6 linked regions of the Xenopus tropicalis genome follow. The protein of the gene in region 1 interacts with the protein of each later gene in a pairwise test. Links are inferred from orthologs where the notes say so. Each region holds a gene or a part of one and is shown in the gene's direction. Other genes may lie near its edges. The genes, in order: glrx3, ca9, trim36, mapkbp1, map3k3 and moxd1.

Region 1 (4,004 bases):
GGTTTTATTTTTCTGTCGGATTGCAGACTCCATCGGCTCAGTGATGCGGTTCATGCGCCAACTTTTTGTATTCCCTTCATTGTAATGTGATCGCTTGGCCCTAGAGCCAAACAATTGCATTAGCATGATATTGCCCACCCAAGGAAGGTATATCGGATTAAAGATTTGCTTGCTTGGCAACTTAGCCAGTCGAGCAGATGTTACAGTGTACGGCCACCTTTAGTCAGAAATCTTGAAGGATAATCTTCCGACCCATCAGGCAATTACCAAAGGAATGACAGGGCAACCATTCCAGCACTTAGTAACTTGCCCACTCTGCCATTACCCTTAAGGGTAAATACGCACGGAGCTACTTAGTGGCAGCTACCTGTCACGCCTACTAAACACCACAAAATCCCCTGCCATAGACAATACTAAAACACACAGACAATTATTGGTAAATGATCAGCATTGTCTATTTTTGTAGCTGTGACAAGTAGCTGCTACTAGTAGCTCTGTGTCTTCACCCTAATAGTTGGTGGAACACCTATTTGCTGCCTCAGACACCCAGCTTTAGGGCAGGGGTACACGGGGAGATTAGTCGGCCAGCGACAAATCATCAGTGTAGCGGGCGACTAATCTCCTCGCAACACCACCCCACCGGTTAGAATGTAAATTGCCGGCGGGATGGCATACACGTCACTGCGATGTCCCGCAGTTGCCCAAAGTCGCCTTGAGAGGAAACTTCAGGCAACTGCCGGACATCACAGCGACGCGTATGCCATCCCGCCGGCAATTTACATTCTAGCTGGTGGGGTCGAATTGCGGGGAGATTAGTCGCCCGCTACAATGGAGATTTGTACCCCCTGCCCTTGAGGCCATTATTTACTTTATTTTAGAGGAAGACTTATTTTTATTGATATTCTTTAAATCATGTCCTGTTAGAGCAATGCTTTTCATGTAGATGAAACATTTGCCCTAAGCTATGTGAGAAAGGGAAGGAGCGGGGACTGAATAAAGCCGCAGGGCTAACATAACGACGCGGGACCCACAAACACCGTGAACTTGTCTTTAAAAGTTGAACCCGGAAAGGCGGACAGAGGCGCTATGGCTCAAGTTCAGCCGATCCGCGTTCTACACTCTGCTACTCACGTCTGTCCCCTCCGCTTTAGCGTGTAAGGTTCCATCGCTGGCTCGGTGCTCGGTTGCTTTCCCTGGGTGCGGGCAGCATGGCGGCGGTGTTGGAGGCCGGCTCTGCGGGCCAGTTTGAGCAGCTGATACAGAACAGCGCAAAGTACGTGACTAAGTGAGAAGGCGCCAGGGCTCAGTGTGGGGGCATATGCACTCAGTATGGGGGCTGTCACTGGGCTAGGGGCATGGGGGTAGTGTCAGGCCCCTCTCATATTGGGAGAGGGCTACAGGCTGGAGGGCTCCTCTCTCTGGCAGCGGATAGGGCTGGTCAAGGCGTAGGCCTCGCTGGCGGCCCCCTGTCTGTTGTTCAAGTACAAGGGCAGGAGAAACTGAGAGTTGTAGTTAAACTTTTGGACATTATGGTATTTGTCCTTACTTTCAACTGTTGTCTAATGTCATTGATCCTTTTTGCTGTACTACAGCTCCCAGGAGTCTCAGTAATGTGTATTGGAGTAATATCCAGAGGTCACAGCTTGGCCCTGCTTTGCCACTTTGCCAGCTTGGCACCAATCGTGTTGGTCCTATTGGCTGAATACTGGTGATGCTCTATTATCAGGGTAATGCTATTCAGTAATTATGTCATGAGGGGCATGTGTGTGTGTATATATATTATTATTAACATTTATTTATAAAGCGCCAACATATCCCGCAGTGCTGTACAATAAGTGGGTTTCATACATTGGACATACAGAGTAACATATAAAGCAATCAATAACCGATACAAGAGGTGAAGAGAGCCCTGCCCAAAAGAGCTTACAATCTACAAGGAGAAAGGGTTGAGACACCAGGTGTGGGTGTGTGTGTGTATGTATATATATATATATATATATATATATATATGTGTGTGTGTGTATATACTCACACACACACACACACACTCTGGAATGGCCCTATCAGCAGCTCATATGTGGCTAGGGTTTGGGTCTGTCTGTAACATAAGGGGCCAGTGATAAAATTCAGTCCTTGATCCCACCAACTGCCTTTCTACTTGATGTCTGGCTCTTGATAAGTATTGCCCCAGTGTCTAGTTATAGAGTTGTGTAAGTGTAAAGGTGGCCATACCCCTAGGAATTCCAATCATTCCAAGATTGTTCCCACCCTCCACGGACATTCAGGGCTGACTCGTCCGATATGGATGTAGAAACAATAGAAATTCTACCTCCTTCTGCCGATTCAGCCCTGAACTTAGTTTTTGCTCGGCCGCCTTCAATGGCACCAGATCTTAATCTTTTAACCTGGCCGATCAACCAATTTCTGCAGACTTTTGCGTATCGGTCGACTCGTCAAGGTTTCGTATGATATTATTGGAACATGTATGGCTAGCTCTACCCATACAAACACAACAGTGCAAGGAGGCTACCCGGCATTTGAGTTGTTGCAGTTTTTCCCTGGGTGGGCAGCAGTCATTAGAATGGCTAGTGGGTTATTATCCTATACGGATGGAGGCAGCAGTAAGAGAAAACTAAAGTCACTTGCCGAAGAGCAAACAAAGCAGCCACGCTTAATGAAATGTGGGCAACTGAGGTGACAGAAAACAAAATGTGGATTTGATACATCCTTAATCTAAACTGTCATTGCAGGGGATGGGCCTGATTATAACTGGGTGGTGGTTTATATAGATATCACTGTCGGACTGTCCTTTTGGCCCCAAAAACAATACGCTACTAGATGTCTAGTCTGGAGTGAGCAGCTCTGCAGGCGGTTTCTGCTTGTGTGTAGCCAGTGTAAGTGATGGGAGGCTGACTGCGTGGATATTTTTACAGCAAAGTTAAGGCAGGCATACATGGGCTGCGTAGTTACTCTCCGACCAGTTGGTCCGCAGGCTGAATGAATAGAGTCGCCTCACATGGTATTTTAACTTTCTGTCGTTCCATTCGTTTTTGCAAAGGGCCTGAAGGATTGGAACAGCAGGAAGTAAAGAAGAACTGTGGCTGCTCTTTACTTTTGTGCCGATGCACCATACACTGATGGCATGATACATCAGCAAAAGAAATACGCTAAACCTGCCCAATCCCCCAAACTGAACAGTATCCAAAGAACATAAATTTTGGTGATTTTTTGCGTGCATTTTTACATTACACACAGTTTAATTAATTGTGCAAAAGGTTATGGTATAAAACACTGTTTCATCTCTAGCTTAATAGGCAGAAAGAATTTACCAATGCCCTGTGGGGGCAATAAGAAAGGTACATGCCTTTGCTCACACAAACAGAAATTACACCAGCTGAATGTTGTGGTGTTCGGCTTTTCGGCCACACATGCTACTGACATAACAGAAAAACCACCAACAAATCATCATTGTAATTATCATAATATCCTGCACATAAAAACGGATCTTACAAATTATATCATGAAGTGCATGGTTATGTGGAATATGTACTAATGTACATCACTGAAATTACCCTTAGGGGCAGTGTGGCCAGATAATAAATAATATATACACAGAAAATATAAATAACATAAATCAAGCGTAACATTTCTGTGTCAGAATATACAGCCTTGCTGGGCTCTTATAGAACCAATAAATTGTGCAACCTATAGCTACATACTTGAGCCTAGACTTGCCAGCCCCCATTCTCTGTAGATCAACACAGAATACAGGACACAAACAATAGAATGAAGAATAAGATCTGTAATGCTGTTTATGTAAAATTGCTAAGAGCCTAGAACCCTATACAGTGATTTTAGTAGTCTACATATGAGAGGATTAATTTGTCAACTTAAGTTGTAAATTAAAGTCCTTGTAACAATAGAAGCTGCTGGGTACATTTAGAGCCACCATCATGGGGTACAGTAGTCAGGGACTCCTTGGTAGAGGGGGCACCAAGGCAGCT
Region 2 (3,500 bases), on another chromosome or scaffold:
CCTTACCAGAACCCCCCATCCCAACCACTACCCCCCATCCCAACCACTACCCCCCATCCCAACCACTACCCCCCATCCTCACCAGAACCCCCCATCCCAGCCACTACCCCCCATCCTTACCAGAACCCCCCATCCCAACCACTACCCCCCATCCTCACCAGAACCCCCCATCCCAACCACTACCCCCCATCCTCACCAGAACCCCCCATCCCAACCACTACCCCCCATCCTCACCAGAACCCCCCATCCCAACCACTACCCCCCATCCTAACCACTACCCCCCATCCCAACCACTACCTCCCAACCAGAACCCCCCATCCCAACCACTACCCGCCCATCCCAGCCACTACCCCCCATCCTCACCAGAACCCCCCATCCCAACCACTACCCCCCATCCTCACCACAACCCCCCATCCCAACCACTACCCCCCATCCTCACCAGAACCCCCCATCCCAACCACTACCCCCATCTTTACCAGAACCCCCCATCCCAACCACTACCCCCCATCCTTACCAGAATCCCCCATCCCAACCACTACCCCCCATCCTTACCAGAACCCCCCATCCCAACCACTACCCTCATCCTCACCAGAACTCCCCATCCCAACCACTACCCCCCATCCTTACCAGAACCCCCCATCCCAACCACTACCCCCCATCCCAACCACTACCCCCCATCCCAACCACTACCCCCCATCCTCACCAGAACCCCCCATCCCAGCCACTACCCCCCATCCTTACCAGAACCCCCCATCCCAACCACTACCCCCCATCCTCACCAGAACCCCCCATCCCAACCACTACCCCCCATCCTCACCAGAACCCCCATCCCAACCACTACCCCCCATCCTCACCAGAACCCCCCATCCCAACCACTACCCCCCATCCTAACCACTACCCCCCATCCCAACCACTACCTCCCAACCACTACCCCCCATCCTCACCAGAACCCCCCATCCCAACCACTACCCGCCCATCCCAACCACTACCCCCCATCCTCACCAGAACCCCCCATCCCAACCACTACCCGCCCATCCCAACCACTACCCCCCATCCTCACCAGAACCCCCCATCCCAACCACTACCCCCCATCCTCACCACAACCCCCCATCCCAACCACTACCCCCCATCCTCACCACAACCCCCCATCCCAACCACTACCCCCCATCCTCACCACAACCCCCCATCCCAACCACTACCCCCCCCATCCTCACCAGAACTCCCCAACCACTACCCCCCATCCTCACCAGAACCCCCCATCCCAACCACAACCCCCCCCCCATTTAGGACAGGGCAAGGAGTGGCAAGCTGTTGCCATTCCAGGAATAAGGTACATAGATTACTTTAACCCCATTGGTCGAGCTGTGGGTGTTGGGATTCTGTATGGTTATTTGGTGCAGGAATAGAATTTATCTGATTGGTTCTCCATACAGGAGGGGGAGGAGGAAAATCCTGCCTTTCAGAACCTGCTTCCCTACCTGCAGAACATAACTGAGGAGGGTAAGTGCCCAATCAGGAACCCCGAGAGCGCAAAATGAATGAATATAAGGGGGGCACAGGGAGACCCCAACAGAGAGTTAAAGACGGAGCCACAGGGGGAGTTGTGGGGGGCACAGGGAGACCCCTTTTATCCCCATAAGTAATAAAAGGCCCATTTGAAGTAACTTATAGTAACCAATAAGATATTTGCTTTTAAGCAGGTAAGCAGTAAATTCTACCAGCTGATTGGTTGCTATGGGTTACTGCACCTGGGCAGACTTAGTGCCTTTAAATACATAACCCTATAAAGAGTTAAAGATGTCAGGAAAACAAATTCACAAAAATATTAATAAAAAAACAGTTTCTGGGGCAGTGACTGCAGGAAGTGAGTGCGGAGAGTGAGTGGAGGCTGGGGGTGAGTGCGGGGAGTGAGTGGAGGCTGGGGGTGAGTGCAGGGAGTGAGTGGAGGCTGGGGTGAGTGCGGGGTGTGAGTGGAGGGAATGAATGCAGGAAGTGAGTGTGACTGCAGGAGGGAGTGAGGGGAGTGAGTGGAGCCTGGGGTGAGTGCGGGGAGTGAGTGGAGCCTGGGGTGAGTGCAGGAAGTGAGTGGAGCCTTGGGGTGAGTGCAGGGAGTGAGTGGAGCCTGGGGTGAGTGCAGGGAGTGAGTGGAGCCTGGGGTGAGTGCAGGGAGTGAGTGGAGCCTGGGGTGAGTGCAAGGAGTGAGTGGAGCCTGGGGTGAGTGCAGGGAGTGAGTGGAAACTTGGGGTGAGTGCAGGGAGTGAGTGGAGGGAATGAATGCTCGAAGTGAGTGTGACTGCAGGAGTGAGTGAGGGGAGTGAGTGGAGCCTGGGGTGAGTGCGGGGTGTGAGTGGAAACTTGGGGTGAGTGCAGGGAGTGAATAGAGTTGAGGCTGGGGGGCCCTGTGGGAGGAGTCAGACCAGGTGAGGAGGAGGAGCTGCTCGTTGTGGGCAGAACATTCACATGACTCTCTCTCTCCAGGTGAAAGCATAGAAATCCCAGGGTTTGATATTCGGGGGTTATTGCCCCAGAGGCTGGACAGATATTACCACTATGACGGCTCCCTCACTACCCCCCCCTGCTACCAGACTGTCAACTGGACTCTCTTCAACCAGACCATCCTCTTGTCCCCAGAGCAGGTGAGTGTCACACATCCCACAATGCACTAAGGGGCAGTTAGTGGCCCCACAGCTGAAAGAACACACATTTATCTGGATCAAGCTATTGCCTCCAGTCTGGCTCTTGGCCCACTGGTTCTGTTCCACAGTCTAACGGGGCGAGTGCGGGAGGGCTCCCGTCTGACTTACCCAAGTCTTCAGCCTCTACATGATCCATAACTGCATCTTTGGCCCCTCCCCCAGCACTCACTGACTGTCCCCCTTCTCTCTCAGATGGACCTATTGGAGGACACTATCCATGCCGACCACGATCACATTCTGCAGAACAACTTCCGTGCTCCTCAAAGTCTAAATGGGCGACTTGTTCTGAGCAGCTTCAGTCCAAAAGTGTCAGGGCGGAGACTTCCTGGGGCAGGTAATGCAGAGCCTTCAGGGTCCCAAACCCACCTGGCAATGTAGGGTACAGGGTAAGGAACCCCACTCACCATACAATGTAGGGTACAGCCTTAGGAACCCCACTCACCATACAATGTAGGGTACAGCCTAAGGAACCCCACTCACCATACAATGTAGGGTACAGCCTAAGGAACCCCACTCACCATACAATGTAGGGTACAGCCTAAGGAACCCCACTCACCATTCAATGTAGGGTACAGCCTAAGGAACCCCACTCACCATACAATGTAGTGTACAGCCTATGGAACCCCACTCACCATACAATGTAGTGTACAGCCTAAGGAACCCCTCTAGAACTCATGCTGTGAGTAGAACTTTCATGAGATCTCCGGGTTCAGGTAGAACTTTATTCTCAGGAGCACAATCTGTGAATGGATCTCAGTTCTGTAGAACACCAGTAATGGCTTTGTCTCTCTGACAGCCCCCAAT
Region 3 (3,500 bases), on another chromosome or scaffold:
GGCTGTAGTCCCTGAAATTCTGCTAGGCATGTGTGTAAGAAGAAAATAGAAATTGCACTTGAGGTTAACTATGATACTTCTTCTTTAGGCATTAAGTCCGCCATACATGAGCAGAATTAAGTGGACATCGGTGCATGTGTGGGCACGTTGCAGTACTTCTTTTTTCTAGAAAAAAGTAATACACAGGGAAATTACAGGGAGGTCACAACATGCAGTTAGTAGTATGAACAATTCTCTTCATGTTATATAGAATTTGTTTTTAGTGACTATCCATTTGTTGTAAATGTTGGTCCATAATTCTCAGGTAGAGATCAAAGATATCCAATTATTAGTGAAACCGCTGCAAAATGAAGGGATACCGTACCTGCTGAATCACACCATTTGTTACTGTCCATATCTCAAACCAGCCATTATATATGTGAATCATCAGCATGCTTCATCAACTTCCAGTGTATGTAGAGTTGTCTTCCAACAGAATGAAAGTTTGCAAAGCTAATGTAACATAATTGGTGCCGTGGCTTCACCCTGTTTGGTTTATGCATGCAATTTTGTTTGCTACAGGCAAGTGACACAGTGCAAGGTACTTAAAAACAAGTTGTGGGTGGCTAATCTTCCTGTGTGCGACTGCCTTTAGGTTGAAGACCGACAGAGCTACTTAGTAGCAGCTACTTGTCATGGCTACTAAACGCCAGAAATTACCCAGCCATAGACAATACTGAGAATTGCCTCTGCTTAAACACACATAGAAACAATTATCTGTAAATGATCAGCATTGTCTATTTTTGTAGCCGTGACAAGTAGCTGCTACTAGTAGCTCTGTGTGTCTTCACCCTTATACTGAATGATACCTGGCTTGATTAGCAACACATGCTGTACTACATGCTTTGGGACTGGTTACTATGTTTGTTTGTTTATTGAATATGTATTTCTAATCGTTTCCTGTGGTAGACCCTTTGGGCTAGATCTAAGGCCACAAAGACTTTCTATAGACTTCAAAGATAAGTTCTCATTGGTTTAGCCTCTATCAACTGGCTCTTGAGTGGTAACCCTCTAAAGGATGGAATGTTTCAATATGATTTTGGGTATTAAAAGGAATCCAATCCCCAAATATTAAATTGATGCCTTTTAAGAACTTTTGTCATTTACATTAATTTTTTTTTTGTTTTTAGTGGTTTCTGAGATATTTGAATCCAGTGCATATACTATGGGTCTTCTTTTAGCTTTAGGCCTGTTGAGCCAACAGCCTGGTATTTACAGGCATTTGCAGTAACGCAATTATTTTAAACCATTACATTATTATTACAATTGTAAATTCCAAAAGTGCTTAGGTTAGAAAACTGACATTGGTTAATTTTCTTGAGATTAACTTTCCTTTAAAGGAGATCTGTGTGTTATTACTTGAGAAAGGGTGTCCAAGCCTGAGATATGCACTGGAATATGTGTCTTTTCAAGTGTTAATTGAATTCAGGGATGAAAATCCAGACATCTGACACTTTGTACCTGTAAAGGTGGCCCCACACGTGGCGATTTGCGATCGTTTAATCAGCCACTAACCGGTCAGGGCTAAAAGGGCAGATAAGGAGGTAGACACAATAGGATTTCTACCTCTTTCTGCCGATTCAGCCCTGAAGGCAGATTTTGCTCAGGCGCCTCTTTTAACCTGGCCGATCGGCGAGACGACCGATATCAGCAGACTCCTGCGATATCGGCCGACTCGCCATATACGCACCGAATATCGTACAAGCAAAGTTTCGTACGATATTATCGGTGTGTGTATGGCTAGCTTAAGTCCCTCAGCGCAAAATTTAGAGCAAAGGCTGCAAATTCAGTCTAAAATATCCACATTGGCCAACTATATCATTGTATTTGTTGCCATTTTTATACTCCATCTTTCCATAACCAGTGTTATTGTTACCATCCCTTTTCATAACCCAATCGAAAACCTCTAGTTTAATGGCCTTTTCAGTACTGAACATGCCAGTATGAGAGCAGTTTATTTTGGCAGTGGCAAACGGACTGAGGGGTGTCTGCTTGCTGGAAAGATCAGTGTTACAAATGGAGATCTTTAAACCAAACTGTAAGTGATCTTTACGACATTTGCAACTTGTTTTTAAGTCTTAAAATCCATGTACAGGTATGGGACCTGTCATTCAGAATGCTTGGAACCTAGGGTTTTCTGGATAAAAGGGGTCTTTTCATAATTTGGATCTCTATAACTTAAGTCTACTAAATAAAATCATTGAACTTAGTTGGGATAAAGTACAAGGTACTCTTTTATTAACACAGAGGAAAGGAAAATTGTTTTTAAAAATGTGAATTTTTTTTATTAAAATGGAGCCTTCCTATAATTTGGAGCTTTTTGGATAGCGGATCCCATACCTGTATTTGATTCTCTTTCTATTAAGGACATGCAAGCTGCAGACCATTGGTTCTCAATCCCATATTTGTGGCCCTTCATGTGTTGTGAATATCACCGTGGTACAAGTAGGTCAGAACATGGATGTAATACAAGATTACTGCTGTGTGAAGATCCAAAAATCATGTTTTGTTGAAAGGCAGGAGAAGGTATGAGGAGCAGTGAATTGTGTGGTTTTTGTGTGACTCTTTGAGAAGGCATCTTTGGTATAGATATTTTGTTTAATTTTCTATGCGCTGCTTCCCCTTGGTGACCTCTGCTTTTGTTAGACTTGTTAGGCCCCAAAATAGATTGTTCATCACTGCTTTACCTAAACTGTAACGGTATTGTCTGACTTTCTTTGAATTGGTTTAGTAAATAGGAAGAGAGGTATTGATGTTACCTAGTGTATTTTTGTGTGTATATATATATATATATATATATATATATATATATTATATATAAAAACAGGTTTGAAGTGGTTACTTGTTGGCACAAACAGAGCGTTTCTGTCACAGCAGTCAAGCCCTCCTGACTACCTGTTATCAGTCAAAATCTGCATCTTTGGGGAAAAATAATTTTAGTAGTGGGTCATTGTGGCATTCTGGGTCCACACAGTTGTTTCAGGTATCCCACAGTGTTATGAGCCACTGAATTTTCTGTAGAAACATAAATTGTCTTCTCCAGCAAAGGCAATGGTTTTTCCTCTTAGTGTCTAGAGTTGGGTGAGCTCAGTCTTTTGCTGGAGTTATTCTTTTGGTCAACAGATGATCTCACTTCTCTTGTTTTTCTATTTTATCCCATTTTGCTTATGTGCTTATCGCTTCTTGTGTTGTTATGTTCATATTGGGCATAAACTAAATTTTATCTAAACATTTCATAGGCTCCAAGCGCAATTCTTTGACTCCTAAGATCACTACCATATCATGCCCTGGATGTTTGCACGATGTAGATCTTGGAGAACGTGGCATAAATGGCCTTTTTCGCAACGTTACTTTGGAAGCTATTGTGGAACGCTACAGACAAGCAGCCCGAGCAGCAACTGCCATCATGTGTGACTATTGCAAACCTCCGGCTCAGGAATCTACCAAAAGCTGCATGGATT
Region 4 (3,500 bases), on another chromosome or scaffold:
ATTCCATACAGTATTACATTTTTCTTACATTTTTGTGTGTACCAGACCACTGGTCAGTTTGTCTTCAGCTATCAACAGTTCTTAGCATCAGAGAACAAAAGTCTCTCTAAATACATGTACTTTCATGCCTGTTGTATAAAAGTTTGTTTCCTACATGTGAGTGTGTGGTCTCTCTCTAAGGTTAATGGTTATGATGCTTCTTTATTTCAGCATCGTCTGTGAGTTTTGAGCAGTGTGAGCTAATTGCTTCGGAGCTGCAGGACAGTCTCCGCAAGGCTCTGAGCTTGTACCGATCTGTGAGTACTCAACCTTCTGTGCCCTGTTATATGATACATTAATGCACATTTCCATACAGGAACCTATTGCTTAAAAGAACAGTAACACCAACAATAATAGAGTTGGCTGAATAAAAGAGTTAAGGTCGAGGTTGGTAATAAAAAACGTGCTTTTAAAGCATTCAAGTTAGCTGGGACAGCGGAAACTTTCATCAGGTACAAGGAAGCAAATAAAGCATGCAAAAAAGCTATCAGGCAAGCTAAAATAGAGATGGAAAGGGATATTGCAGCTAGGAGTAAAAAGAATCCAAAATTATTTTTTAATTATGTGAATAGTAAAAAAATGAAGCAAGAAGGGGTGGGATCTTTATTATCACGGGGAGGTACGTTGGTTGATGAGAACGGGGAAAAAGCTGAAATTTTGAACTCTTATTTTTCATCTGTCTATACATCTGAGGAGCCAGATAATGAAGGCTTCCCTTTTAATATACCCAGTGCTAGTAATTTAGCTACTGGCGCATGGGTCACTCAGGAGGAAATTCAAAAGAGACTTGAACATGTAAAGGTAAACAAAGGTCCAGGACCGGATGGGATTCATCCCAGGGTATTAAATGAGCTGAGTGCTGTGATTGCCAAGCCTCTTCACATAATTTTTCAGGATTCGTTGAGGTTTGGCATGGTGCCGAGAGACTGGCGGATTGCTAATGTGGTGCCGTTATTTAAAAAGGGATCTCGTTCTCAGCCTGAAAACTATAGGCCTGTTAGTCTGACATCAGTAGTAGGAAAGCTTCTGGAAGGGGTAATAAGGGATAGGATAGTTGAATACATTGCAGTTCACAATACTATTAGTTTGTGCCAGCATGGTTTTATGCGTAACAGATCTTGCCAGACTAATTTAGTTGCCTTTTATGAGGAGGTGAGCAGGAACCTTGATGCTGGAATGGCAGTTGATGTCATCTACTTAGATTTTGCTAAAGCGTTTGATACAGTACCTCACAGAAGGTTAATGATCAAATTGAGGAATATTGGCCTAGAACATAATATTTGTAATTGGATAGAGAACTGGCTGAAGGATAGAGTACAAAGAGTGGTGGTAAATGGAACATTTTCTAATTGGGCCAGTGTGGTTAGTGGAGTACCGCAGGGGTCAGTCCTTGGTCCTTTGCTTTTTAACTTGTTTATTAATGACCTGGAGGTGGGCATAGAGAGTACTGTTTCTATTTTTGCTGATGACACTAAATTGTGCAAAACTATAAGTTCCATGCAGGATGCTGCCGCTTTGCAGAGCGATTTGACAAAATTGGAAAACTGGGCAGCAAACTGGAAAATGAGGTTCAATGTTGACAAGTGCAAAGTTATGCACTTTGGTAGGAATAATATAAACGCAAACTATCTACTGAATGGTAGTGTGTTGGGGGCATCCTTAATGGAGAAGGATCTAGGGGTTTTTGTAGATCACAAGTTGTCTAATTCCAGGCAGTGTCATTCTGTGGCTACTACAGCAAATAAAGTGCGGTCTTGTATAAAAAAGGGCATTGACTCAAGGGATGAGGACATATTTTTGCCGCTTTATAGGTCCCTGGTAAGGCCTCACCTTGAGTATGCAGTGCAGTTTTGGGCTCCAGTCCTTAAGAAGGATATTAATGAGCTGGAGAGAGTGCAGAGACGTGCAACTAAACTGGTAAAGGGGATGGAAGATTTAAGCTATGAGGTTAGACTGTCGAGGTTGGGGTTGTTTTCTCTGGAAAAGAGGCGCTTGCGAGGGGACATGATTACTCTGTACAAGTACATTAGAGGGGATTATAGGCAGTTAGGGGATGTTCTTTTTTCCCATAAAAACAATCAACGCACCAGAGGTCACCCCTATAGATTAGAGGAACAGAGCTTCCATTTGAAGCAGCGTAGGTGGTTTTTCACGGTGAGGGCAGTGAGGCTGTGGAATGCCCTTCCTAGTGATGTGGTAAGGGCAGACTCTGTTAATAGAGGGGCCTGGATGAGTTTTTGAACAAGCAGAATATCCAAGGCTATTGTGATACTAATATCTACAGTTAGTATTACTGATTGTATATATATAGTTTATGTATGTGAGTGTATAGATTGGTTAGTATAGGTTGTGTGCTGGGTTTACTCGGATGGGTTGAACTTGATGGACAATGGTCTTTTTTCAACCCTATGTAACTATATGTAACTATGTAACTATGTAACAAGTTAAAGTGTATCAAAATAATGAATATATTATGTACTATTGCCCTGCACTGGTAAAAGCTGTTTGCTTTAGAAATACTATTTTAGTATGATACATATGATATAGAACCTGTACATGCATAAACTCCCAAACGGCAAACCCTAAAGCATCAATCAAACTCAAAATCTCTTTTTTTGGTAATGCAGGTATGGGGATCCTTATCTGGAAATACATTATCCAGAAAGTTTCAAATTATGAAAAGGCCATCTCTTATAGACTCCATTATAAGCAGAAAAATCACATTTGAAAAAAATGGATGTATAATCCTGTGATGCTTGTGGATTCTGGTGGAAGATTTTGGTTGGTTGGCTGAAAGGAAGTCTGGGATTCATAGCTCTGTGACTCCTCTTCATTTCCCTTCAGGTTGTTTGGGCATCCAGCCTAAGGGCTCTGGCACACGGGGGAGATTAGTCGCCCGCGATTAACTCCCTGTTCGCGGGCGACTAATCTCCCCGAGTTGCCTACCCCTGCCATCCCACCGGCGAACATGTAAGTCGCCGGCGGGATGGCAGACTTGCGAGTCTTTTTCGGCGATTTCCGGAAATTGCCCCGCCGCGTCTGCCATCCCGCCGGTGACTTACATGTTCTCCCCGTGTACCAGAGCCCTAAATCAGGAGATAAGGGTTTTGATTATAAAAACAAAATGCCTTCTGAAGGCAAGATAAATTAAAGTTATACAAGCAAGAGAAAATTTTGCAGTGGAAATATCATTCTGCGTCTTACTTTTAATGTTTCCTTTAGAAAAAATAATTAAATATGGTTAATGTGCCTTTAGCCTTTGCTTATCTAATTGTATTCTGTCTCCCAGGTAACCACAGCTGATCCATCAACTAACCTGGAGCGCTGCAAGATAGCAGGTCTGTTGACTGAAACCTTTGGTATGGTGAAACGAGAGCTTGATTTCTTGAAAGAAGGCAATGGCAGCCCTGGGACAGGGGAAGCACTGACACCCCTGAATGACACTGGCTCTAACTTGACAG
Region 5 (3,963 bases), on another chromosome or scaffold:
TAACTCAGTACCAAGAATACAAGCTCCCTTCAGAAGAATAACTATGCCCCAATACCCCTACAATCAGCCTTCTGCAGCAAGATTACTCTCCCCCTATAAACAGACCCCTGCAGCAGGCTTACCCCCACTCAGTAACTCAGTGCCAAGAATACAAGCTCCCTGCAGAAGAATAACTATGCCCCAATACCTCTACAATCAGCCCCCTGCAGCAAGATTACTCTTCCCCTATAAACAGACCCCTGCAGCAGGCTTACCCCCACTCAGTAACCCAGTACCAAGAATACAAGCTCCCTGCAGAAGAATAACTATGCCCCAATACCCCTACAATCAGCCCCCTGCAGCAAGATTACTCTTCCCCTATAAACAGACCCCTGCAGCAGGCTTACCCCCACTCAGTACCAAGAATACAAGCTCCCTTCAGAAGAATAACTATGCCCCAATAGCCCTACAATCAGCCCCCTGCAGCAAGATTATTCTTCCCCTATAAACAGACCCCTGCAGCAGGCTTACCCCCACTCAGTAACTCAGTACCAAGAATACAAGCTCCCTTCAGAAGAATAACTATGCCCCAATAGCCCTACAATCAGCCCCCTGCAGCAAGATTACTCTTCCCCTATAAACAGACCCCTGCAGCAGGCTTACCCCCACTCAGTAACTCAGTACCAAGAATACAAGCTCCCTTCAGAAGAATAACTATGCCCCAATACCCCTACAATCAGCCCCCTGCTGTTGTCCCCTGCTGCAAGAGTTGTCAACTAGTAATGGCTAGAGCCTAGGCAGCCCAGAGGCCACACAACTCTAGCCCATGACTCTCATGTCTCCCACTGGTAAGCCCAGCACCACAGACAGGTACTCGCAACCATTACATTGAGTCTCTCTGGGCCGCTAATACCTGCTGCTCTACAGACTCTCTCACTTCCTGCACAATGACCTACTCTTCCTCTCCGCTAGCTAGGCGGTCACATGGTGCAGTGATGTCACCGGTGACGTGTGTAGGTCCTGCAGCGGGCTAGGAACTGGCCCAGAGTAAGGCCTGAGCCCCCGGAGCCCTGGCCAAGCCGGATATGAGGTGACCGGAGTCGCTGACGGGCCGCGGGGCAGACCCGGGGAGAGAATAACCCAGAGGAGGCGGTGGGTTCAGTAGCAGAGGAGGCGCTACATACAACTTTACCTAAGAATCGGGGGAGGCCTCAGGGCCCGGGAAACTGACAGGGCTGCCCGGAATAGTGCCCCCTGCTCCGCCATGGGTAAGTACTGGGGCCTAGTCACTGGCTATGGCCGTAACGCAAGCTCTTGTACGGGCACTCTCCCCCGCTTGTCTGCTCGGCCACTGACATTCCTCTGGGGGGTCACTTGCACTCTCTGGCACTCTATCACTGTCTCTCTGTCTCATTATCACTGTCTCTCTGGCACTCTATCACTGTCTCTCTGTCTCTCTATCTCTGTCTCTCTATCACTGTCTCTCTGGCACTCTATCACTGTCTCTCTATCACTGTCTCTCTATCACTGTCTCTCTATCACTGTCTCTCTATCACTGTCTCTCTGGCACTCTGTCTCTCTGGCACTCTGTCTCTCTGGCACTCTGTCTCTCTGTCACTGTCACTCTGTCACTGTCACTCTATCACTGTCTCTCTGGCACTCTATCACTGTCTCTCTGGCACTCTATCACTGTCTCTCTGTCTCTCTATCACTGTCTCTCTGTCTCTCTATCACTGTCTCTCTGTCTCTCTATCACTGTCTCTCTGGCACTCTATCACTGTCTCTCTATCACTGTCTCTCTATCACTGTCTCTCTATCACTGTCTCTCTATCACTGTCTCTCTATCACTGTCTCTCTGGCACTCTGTCTCTCTGGCACTCTGTCTCTCTGTCACTGTCTCTCTGTCACTGTCTCTCTGTCACTGTCTCTCTGTCACTGTCACTCTGTCACTGTCACTCTATCACTGTCTCTCTGGCACTCTGTCTCTCTGTCACTGTCACTCTGTCACTGTCTCTCTGTCACTGTCTCTCTGTCACTGTCACTCTATCACTGTCTCTCTGTCACTGTCACTCTGTCACTGTCTCTCTGTCTCTCTGTCACTGTCACTCTGTCACTCAGTTTCTATCTCTCACTCACTGTGTCTCTCTCTTGTCACTTACATACACTGTCCGTCATATTCTGTGTCCTGCTGTCATTCACTGCCTCTCTCTCACTCACTCCCTGTGTCTCTCTCTTGTCACTTTTCTGTCTCTTGCTGTCACTCACTGGCTTTCTGTGTTTCTCTGTAACTTGCATACACTCTTCTGTCACTGTCTCTTATTGCCACTCACTGTAACTTATTTAGCACACACTGTCACTCCCTGTCTCTCTCATCACTTATATGCTCTCTTCTGTCACAGTCTCCTGCTGTCTCTGTCCCTGTCTCACATGCATTGTCATTTACTCACTGTCTTTCTAACTCACATGCACTCACTCACTGTGTCTCTCTTTTGTCACTTTAATACAATGTTCTGTGCCTCCTGCTGTCACTAACTGTCTCTCTAACTCGCATGCACTCCTTCGCTGTGTCTCTCTCTTGTCATTTAAATACAATTTTCTGTTATTAGCTCCTGCTGTCACTCACTGTGTCTTTCTGTAACTTACTCACTGTATGTCTCTTGTCTCTGGCATATCTTTCACTGTTTCCTGCTCTCACTGCCTCACTCACTGTCTGTCTCACTCACTCACGGTCTGTCTGTCTCTCACTCACTCACTCACTCACTGTCTGTCTCACTCACTGTCTGTCTCACTCACTCACTGTCTGTCTGTCTCTCACTCACTGTCTGTCTCTCACTCTCTCACTCACTGTCTGTCTCTCACTCTCTCACTCACTGTCTGTCTCTCACTCTCTCACTCACTGTCTGTCTCTCACTCTCTCACTCACTGTCTCTCACTCTCTCACTCACTGTCTGTCTCTCACTCTCTCACTCACTGTCTGTCTCTCACTCTCTCACTCACTGTCTCTGTCTCTCACTCACTCACTGTCTCTCACTCACTCACTGTCTCTGTCTCTCACTCACTCACTGTCTGTCTCTCACTCTCTCACTCACTGTCTCTCACTCACTCACTGTCTCTGTCTCTCACTCACTCACTGTCTCTGTAATCCATGGCAATCAGTCATAAAGTTTATCTAATAATTTCCATTCTCAGTCTTGGTCTTCTGGGTTTCTAGTTAGTCATGATTGGTCTGCTGCAGACAGACTACTGTCTATACCCCACGGAATGCTTCCCAATGTGCCCCGCAAATTCTGGCACCCCGTTTAGAAAATAGTTCTTTGGGTGTTTGCACTGTAGAAAAGCTGCATTTCTATTAGGAAATAAGAGTTCTGCTCCTTTTTTTTTTACACGCAGCCCTGCTATTGTAATTTCCTAGCCTTTGCTCTTCAAAGAGATTTGCCACAAATATGAAATACAGAAGCCCTTCTAGCCACACTTACCATTTGCCCAGTTGGGTGCAAATTCCACCAGTCTAGTAACTCTTAGCAGCCAGTCAGCAATTGTGTGATTGTTTTCTTGCAGATAAAATTATGAAAGCAGATATCTGATTGGATGCTGAGTGGCAGAGTGAGACTGTTTTGGTGTGAGGTTGTTGTCATAGTTTCCAGTGTCTCAACTCCTTTTCCTTTTAGATTGTAAGCTCTAATGGACAGAGCCCTCTTCACCTCAATGTATATGCCCATTTATTGTACATCACTGTGGAATATGTTGGTGTTTTATAAATATGTCATAATAATAACAGGGATTTGGAAAAAACACAAGCAGTGCTTGGTATAAAATCTGCTGCTCTCCACCTCTCCACTCTAAAAATGTAATTCTAAGCAACTTTCAAATATACATTTATAGCAAAAATTGTAAGTGCTTTTAATGTTATTTGTAAATGTAATTGCAGTTTAAAGCAGTAGTCTTAACTTTTTGCATTCTGGTCCATACTTATAAAGGACAAGG
Region 6 (4,208 bases), on another chromosome or scaffold:
ATTGTCACATGGGTCTTCTTAAGTGAGGGAATTTCTGCTTCTGTTCTGCACATTCTTGGCTCAGACTTTGCATCCCTAAATATTCTTTATAATGTTTTGGATTTCTTTGCTTTAGAAAGTTATTTACTATAGAAAGAGTATATATGTCAGTGGTATTGTCAGAGATAAACTGCACAATTTTTAGGGGAGCTTTGTAGAAGGGAATTTACCTTGATGTAGTATGGTGGCTTGTCAATTTTCTTATCATAACTTAGCTAAAAACCCATGTTTTTGTAAATAGATGTACTTGCATAGATAATCAGGGGACCGGGGAATGTGCATTTATCAGCCCCCTCTCATTTGTATGTTTGTAGATAAACTGACCAAGTCATTTGGACTTCCATTGTAATTCTATATTTTTACTTAGCATTGAAGTGCTCCTGCTTTGTGTTTTTCTGTACTTTAGCAGAGTTATTCTACAGGACATGGTAAGGTGGCTTGTGAATTTTATGATCATAAGTAAAACCCCTGGTTTTTAAAATACATGCACTTGTATAGATACTTATTGACTTATAAAACAGGGGACAGGGGAATTTGCATTGATCGACCCCCCTCTCTTCTGTGTGAAATGGCTAGCCCTTCTTATCCCCAATGAAGAGAGCTATTTCTTACAATTTCCATATCTGTCATCACCTGCCACTGGATCCTACCAAAATCTACTGTGAAATCAAAATCATACACTGTGCATTTCATGAGAAAGGTGTGTAAATAGAACTACATTTCATGCAGCTTTTGGTTTACAGTAGTCTGTATCCAAACAGTCAAATATTTTAATGCAGTATGCAGTGGAAGGTACACTGCAGAAAAAATCAGTTCAGCAATACACTGTAGGAACAGGCACTACTATTAAGGCAAATGTCAGACCAGGCGTTGTTACCATATAATCCATAAAGTATCTGGGTTATACTTAGTCTGTAATATAAAAAAGTTCTATTTAATACTGTTGCTGGAGGTTATCACAGCATAACATATATATTCAGAATATACATAAAATACATTTGAAAAAGCACAATGTTTTGAAAAGAGCTGACTTTAATCTAACAAACAAATAAATAAATAAATATAATTTGTCGTATATTGGCTGACTTCTTCTTACTTAGATCACAATGGGTTTTTGACAAAGCTGTAAAAAAATAGAGCAGAAAAAGCATATTGTTTGTGCTGCTCCAGAGATCTGAGCTCTTTAAATCTAGCTTACTGGATTACAAAGGGAACATCTCTGAAAACAAAGAATAGCCACTTGTAGCAGCATGTTCTATGCACTTACTGCCTCAGGGCACTGTTGTGGAGCTGGCTCAGGGCTCGAGTCATGTCTATTTCTTATGGTCTCATATAAACCCCACAGCCACACTGTGCACGCTGCATCTCCCCCTCCTCTGATCTTCAAAGTTCCTACTATAAGCTAGGGGTGGCGAGTGTCTAGGAGTGTGTGGGAGGGAGAGGGCTGAGTGGAAAGATATCCCACATCTGTTATCTGTCCATTACAGAGGAAACATTGGATAAGGATGTTTGCATTTCTCTTTCTATTTCCATTCTTTGCCACAGCCCTGAATGTGGACCTACAACCTTACAGCCATAGTGCAGTTCTGGATGGGCAGGGAAAATACATGTTGCACTGGAGGCACCATGGCAAGTCAATCACCTTCCTGCTACAGGTGGAGACGTTAGGCTATGTTGGTTTTGGGTTCTCTCCCAATGGGGACATGGCTTCTTCAGACATTGTTATTGGAGGAGTGGAAGAAGGCAAGCCCTACTTGCAGGTAGGGATCTTTATCTGCACCCAGTAATTACCTCCTATGGGACTTTGCACAAAGACCAGAAATCTCACTGCAGCATATATACCCCAGTGCTTATCCTTAACTGCTGTAGATGCAATATTTGGTTTATTGGCTTTGGGATCAGTACAGAAGTAAGGCATTTCAGTGTATTTTGGTTCAATATGTTTTCATGTTTTTCTATTCTCTTAAGCACTGAGCTTAACTGAGCACTGAGTTACTGTGTGGGAGTATAAAAGAAATGTTAAAATTCTTCATGCTTAGTAGATATTATTAGTGAAAAATATATTGCAGCTTGTTTTATTTATGCTGCTAGATGGAAAACGTTGACTGCTTGCTGCTTTGTACCACATTGTATGTGCTTTTATGTCTATTAAAATATATTATAATTAATATTAGAAATACTAATGTGCAATAGACTCCCAGCTGTGTGTGATGAAAGGCTGGCTGAATACAGATCTTCAGTGATTGACTCATGCAGCGCTTTCCCACTAGAAGACATTCACAGTACATGCTGACACTGTTTGTGAATTAAACCCAGATTACTTGGAAGCACAACAGTGGCAAGGGACAGGAAAGATGGGGGGGTGACATCAGAGGAACAGGGGACATCTAATGTTAATACTGTATTTATACATTTTACTTAAGAAGCAAAAATATCTCTTATTCTGTGTTTAATACTGCAATCGAGGAAGATTTTGGGACACCTGTGGCATTAGAACACTTAGGGGCTGATTTACTAACCCACGAATCCGACCCGAATTGGAAAAGTTCCAACTTGAAAACGAACATTTTGCGACTTTTTCGTATTTTTTGCGATTTTTTCGGCGTCTTTACGAATTTTTCGTTACCAATACGATTTTTGCGTAAAAACGCGAGTTTTTCGTAGCCATTACGAAAGTTGCGTAAAATCGCCCGATTTTTCCGTAGTGTTAAAACTTACGCGAAAAGTTGCGCCTTTTTCGTAGCGTTAAAACTTAAAAGGTGCGAAGTTTCGCGTAAGTTTTAACGCTACGAAAAAAACGCAACTTTTTGCGCAAGTTTTAACGCTACAAAAAATCGCCAGATTTTACGCAACTTTCGTAATGGCTACGAAAAACTCGCATTTTTACGCAAAAATCGTATTGGTAAAGAAAAATTCGTAAAGACGCCGAAAAAATCGCAAAAAATACGAAAAAATCGCAAAATACCGATCATTACGAAAAAAACGCAATCTGACTCATTTCGACCCGTTCGTGGGTTAGTAAATGTGCCCCTTATTTACAAACACTGGTGGTGAATTGCACAAGCACAAAAACTAATTTTGCACAGTCTACAACAATTTAGAGAATGAAAGCAAAGGCCTGGTTGGTTGCTATTGGCAACTACACTACAAGTATAAACATATTTATTACAATATTTCATAAAGCTTAAAATTAAATTTTTTTAGTTCAATTTCATTGGATATCAATATCCCATAGTCTCTGCTTGTTTGTCTTTGCTTGTTTGTCTTTGCTTGTTTTTTGTTTTTTAACAGAGCCAAAAACAAAAAGAAAACAGAGCTGTTGTAATGTGCTGCAGCTAGTTCTGATGCCAAGTATACTATTACAGAAATGTTGGTTCAACTCTCTTCTCTTGCTACCAGTTCCAAAACACAATAAACTGGAAGCACATCATGTTACTTGATAAAACAGCCCCCGTAAAAGCTGCTTTTCTAGCCCTAATAGCTGACTTTCTTCACACTGCATCATGGGAATTGAAATCGTTTTGTAGATATCAGCAAAGAGTATAACCAGACAGTATAGTATTCTCACTGATTTGATGGCAGCAGCAAAATCATGGTGTATATTTTAGCTGCCCACCCCTTCATTTATGCTAAGACCTCACAGTATATTATGAGATGTCTCTTGGCAGGTCAGTAATACCTTCACCCATAGCATTGGTAATGGTAATGGCAGACATTAGTGAATATTGGCAGAGGAATGGTTTCAGGTGCAAAATTCCTAAATGTGCAAATGTAAACATTATATTACTTCATACATACCCCATACTAAAATCTATAAAAGTATTTGTTGTTCCATGACCTAAAAAAATCCCCTTTGGACAACTGCCTGTAAATAAAGAGCCTGTTTCATGAAAAATCTAATTTTTACAATCAAGTCTCTGCAAGATAACCCCCCCCCTTTCCCCCCAGAGATTTGCCATCAAAGTCTGCCCACTGCTAAATAATGAAAAAGAAGTTTTAGTAGCCATGCCCCTTGCTTCTTTTCTGGCTTCATTTGCTTATTATTGATCTTATGGCTAACTGACACAATTCAGCCAGTTGGCTCAGAACAAGAAAATAACACTGGAAAATGGTCAAAGATTATGTTGAAGAATACTAAACATGACAGCACAGCTTTCTGCGCAAAGTGA

What was found.
Region 2: the proteins of glrx3 (region 1) and ca9 interact in binary tests that used the Homo sapiens proteins (3 or more experiments, as listed by UniProt). The two-hybrid records come from large-scale screens. The link is inferred for Xenopus tropicalis from reciprocal best matches to the Homo sapiens genes GLRX3 and CA9.
Region 3: the proteins of glrx3 (region 1) and trim36 interact in binary tests that used the Homo sapiens proteins (3 or more experiments, as listed by UniProt). The two-hybrid records come from large-scale screens. The link is inferred for Xenopus tropicalis from reciprocal best matches to the Homo sapiens genes GLRX3 and TRIM36.
Region 4: the proteins of glrx3 (region 1) and mapkbp1 interact in binary tests that used the Homo sapiens proteins (3 or more experiments, as listed by UniProt). The two-hybrid records come from large-scale screens. The link is inferred for Xenopus tropicalis from reciprocal best matches to the Homo sapiens genes GLRX3 and MAPKBP1.
Region 5: the proteins of glrx3 (region 1) and map3k3 interact in a two-hybrid assay, tested with the Homo sapiens proteins (2 studies listed by BioGRID and IntAct). The link is inferred for Xenopus tropicalis from reciprocal best matches to the Homo sapiens genes GLRX3 and MAP3K3.
Region 6: the proteins of glrx3 (region 1) and moxd1 interact in binary tests that used the Homo sapiens proteins (3 or more experiments, as listed by UniProt). The link is inferred for Xenopus tropicalis from reciprocal best matches to the Homo sapiens genes GLRX3 and MOXD1.

What each region holds. Positions count from the first base shown.
Region 1 is NC_030683.2:22,217,709-22,221,712, reverse strand, and holds the start of glrx3 (glutaredoxin-3), read left to right. Parts: upstream 1-1,204; 5' UTR 1,205-1,208; coding exon 1,209-1,273; intron 1,274-4,004. UniProt on the Homo sapiens protein: Together with BOLA2, acts as a cytosolic iron-sulfur (Fe-S) cluster assembly factor that facilitates [2Fe-2S] cluster insertion into a subset of cytosolic proteins.
Region 2 is NC_030677.2:217,092,750-217,096,249, reverse strand, and holds part of ca9 (carbonic anhydrase 9), read left to right. Parts: intron 1-1,433; coding exon 1,434-1,500; intron 1,501-2,478; coding exon 2,479-2,636; intron 2,637-2,888; coding exon 2,889-3,030; intron 3,031-3,492; coding exon 3,493-3,500. UniProt on the Homo sapiens protein: Catalyzes the interconversion between carbon dioxide and water and the dissociated ions of carbonic acid (i.e. bicarbonate and hydrogen ions).
Region 3 is NC_030677.2:172,217,482-172,220,981, forward strand, and holds part of trim36 (E3 ubiquitin-protein ligase TRIM36), read left to right. Parts: intron 1-3,278; coding exon 3,279-3,500. UniProt on the Homo sapiens protein: E3 ubiquitin-protein ligase which mediates ubiquitination and subsequent proteasomal degradation of target proteins. Involved in chromosome segregation and cell cycle regulation. May play a role in the acrosome reaction and fertilization.
Region 4 is NC_030684.2:105,027,932-105,031,431, reverse strand, and holds part of mapkbp1 (mitogen-activated protein kinase-binding protein 1), read left to right. Parts: intron 1-210; coding exon 211-296; intron 297-3,328; coding exon 3,329-3,500. UniProt on the Homo sapiens protein: Negative regulator of NOD2 function. It down-regulates NOD2-induced processes such as activation of NF-kappa-B signaling, IL8 secretion and antibacterial response. Involved in JNK signaling pathway.
Region 5 is NC_030686.2:17,080,605-17,084,567, reverse strand, and holds the start of map3k3 (mitogen-activated protein kinase kinase kinase 3), read left to right. Parts: upstream 1-1,163; 5' UTR 1,164-1,243; coding exon 1,244-1,247; intron 1,248-3,963. UniProt on the Homo sapiens protein: Component of a protein kinase signal transduction cascade. Mediates activation of the NF-kappa-B, AP1 and DDIT3 transcriptional regulators.
Region 6 is NC_030681.2:70,268,503-70,272,710, reverse strand, and holds the start of moxd1 (DBH-like monooxygenase protein 1), read left to right. Parts: upstream 1-1,408; 5' UTR 1,409-1,544; coding exon 1,545-1,799; intron 1,800-4,208.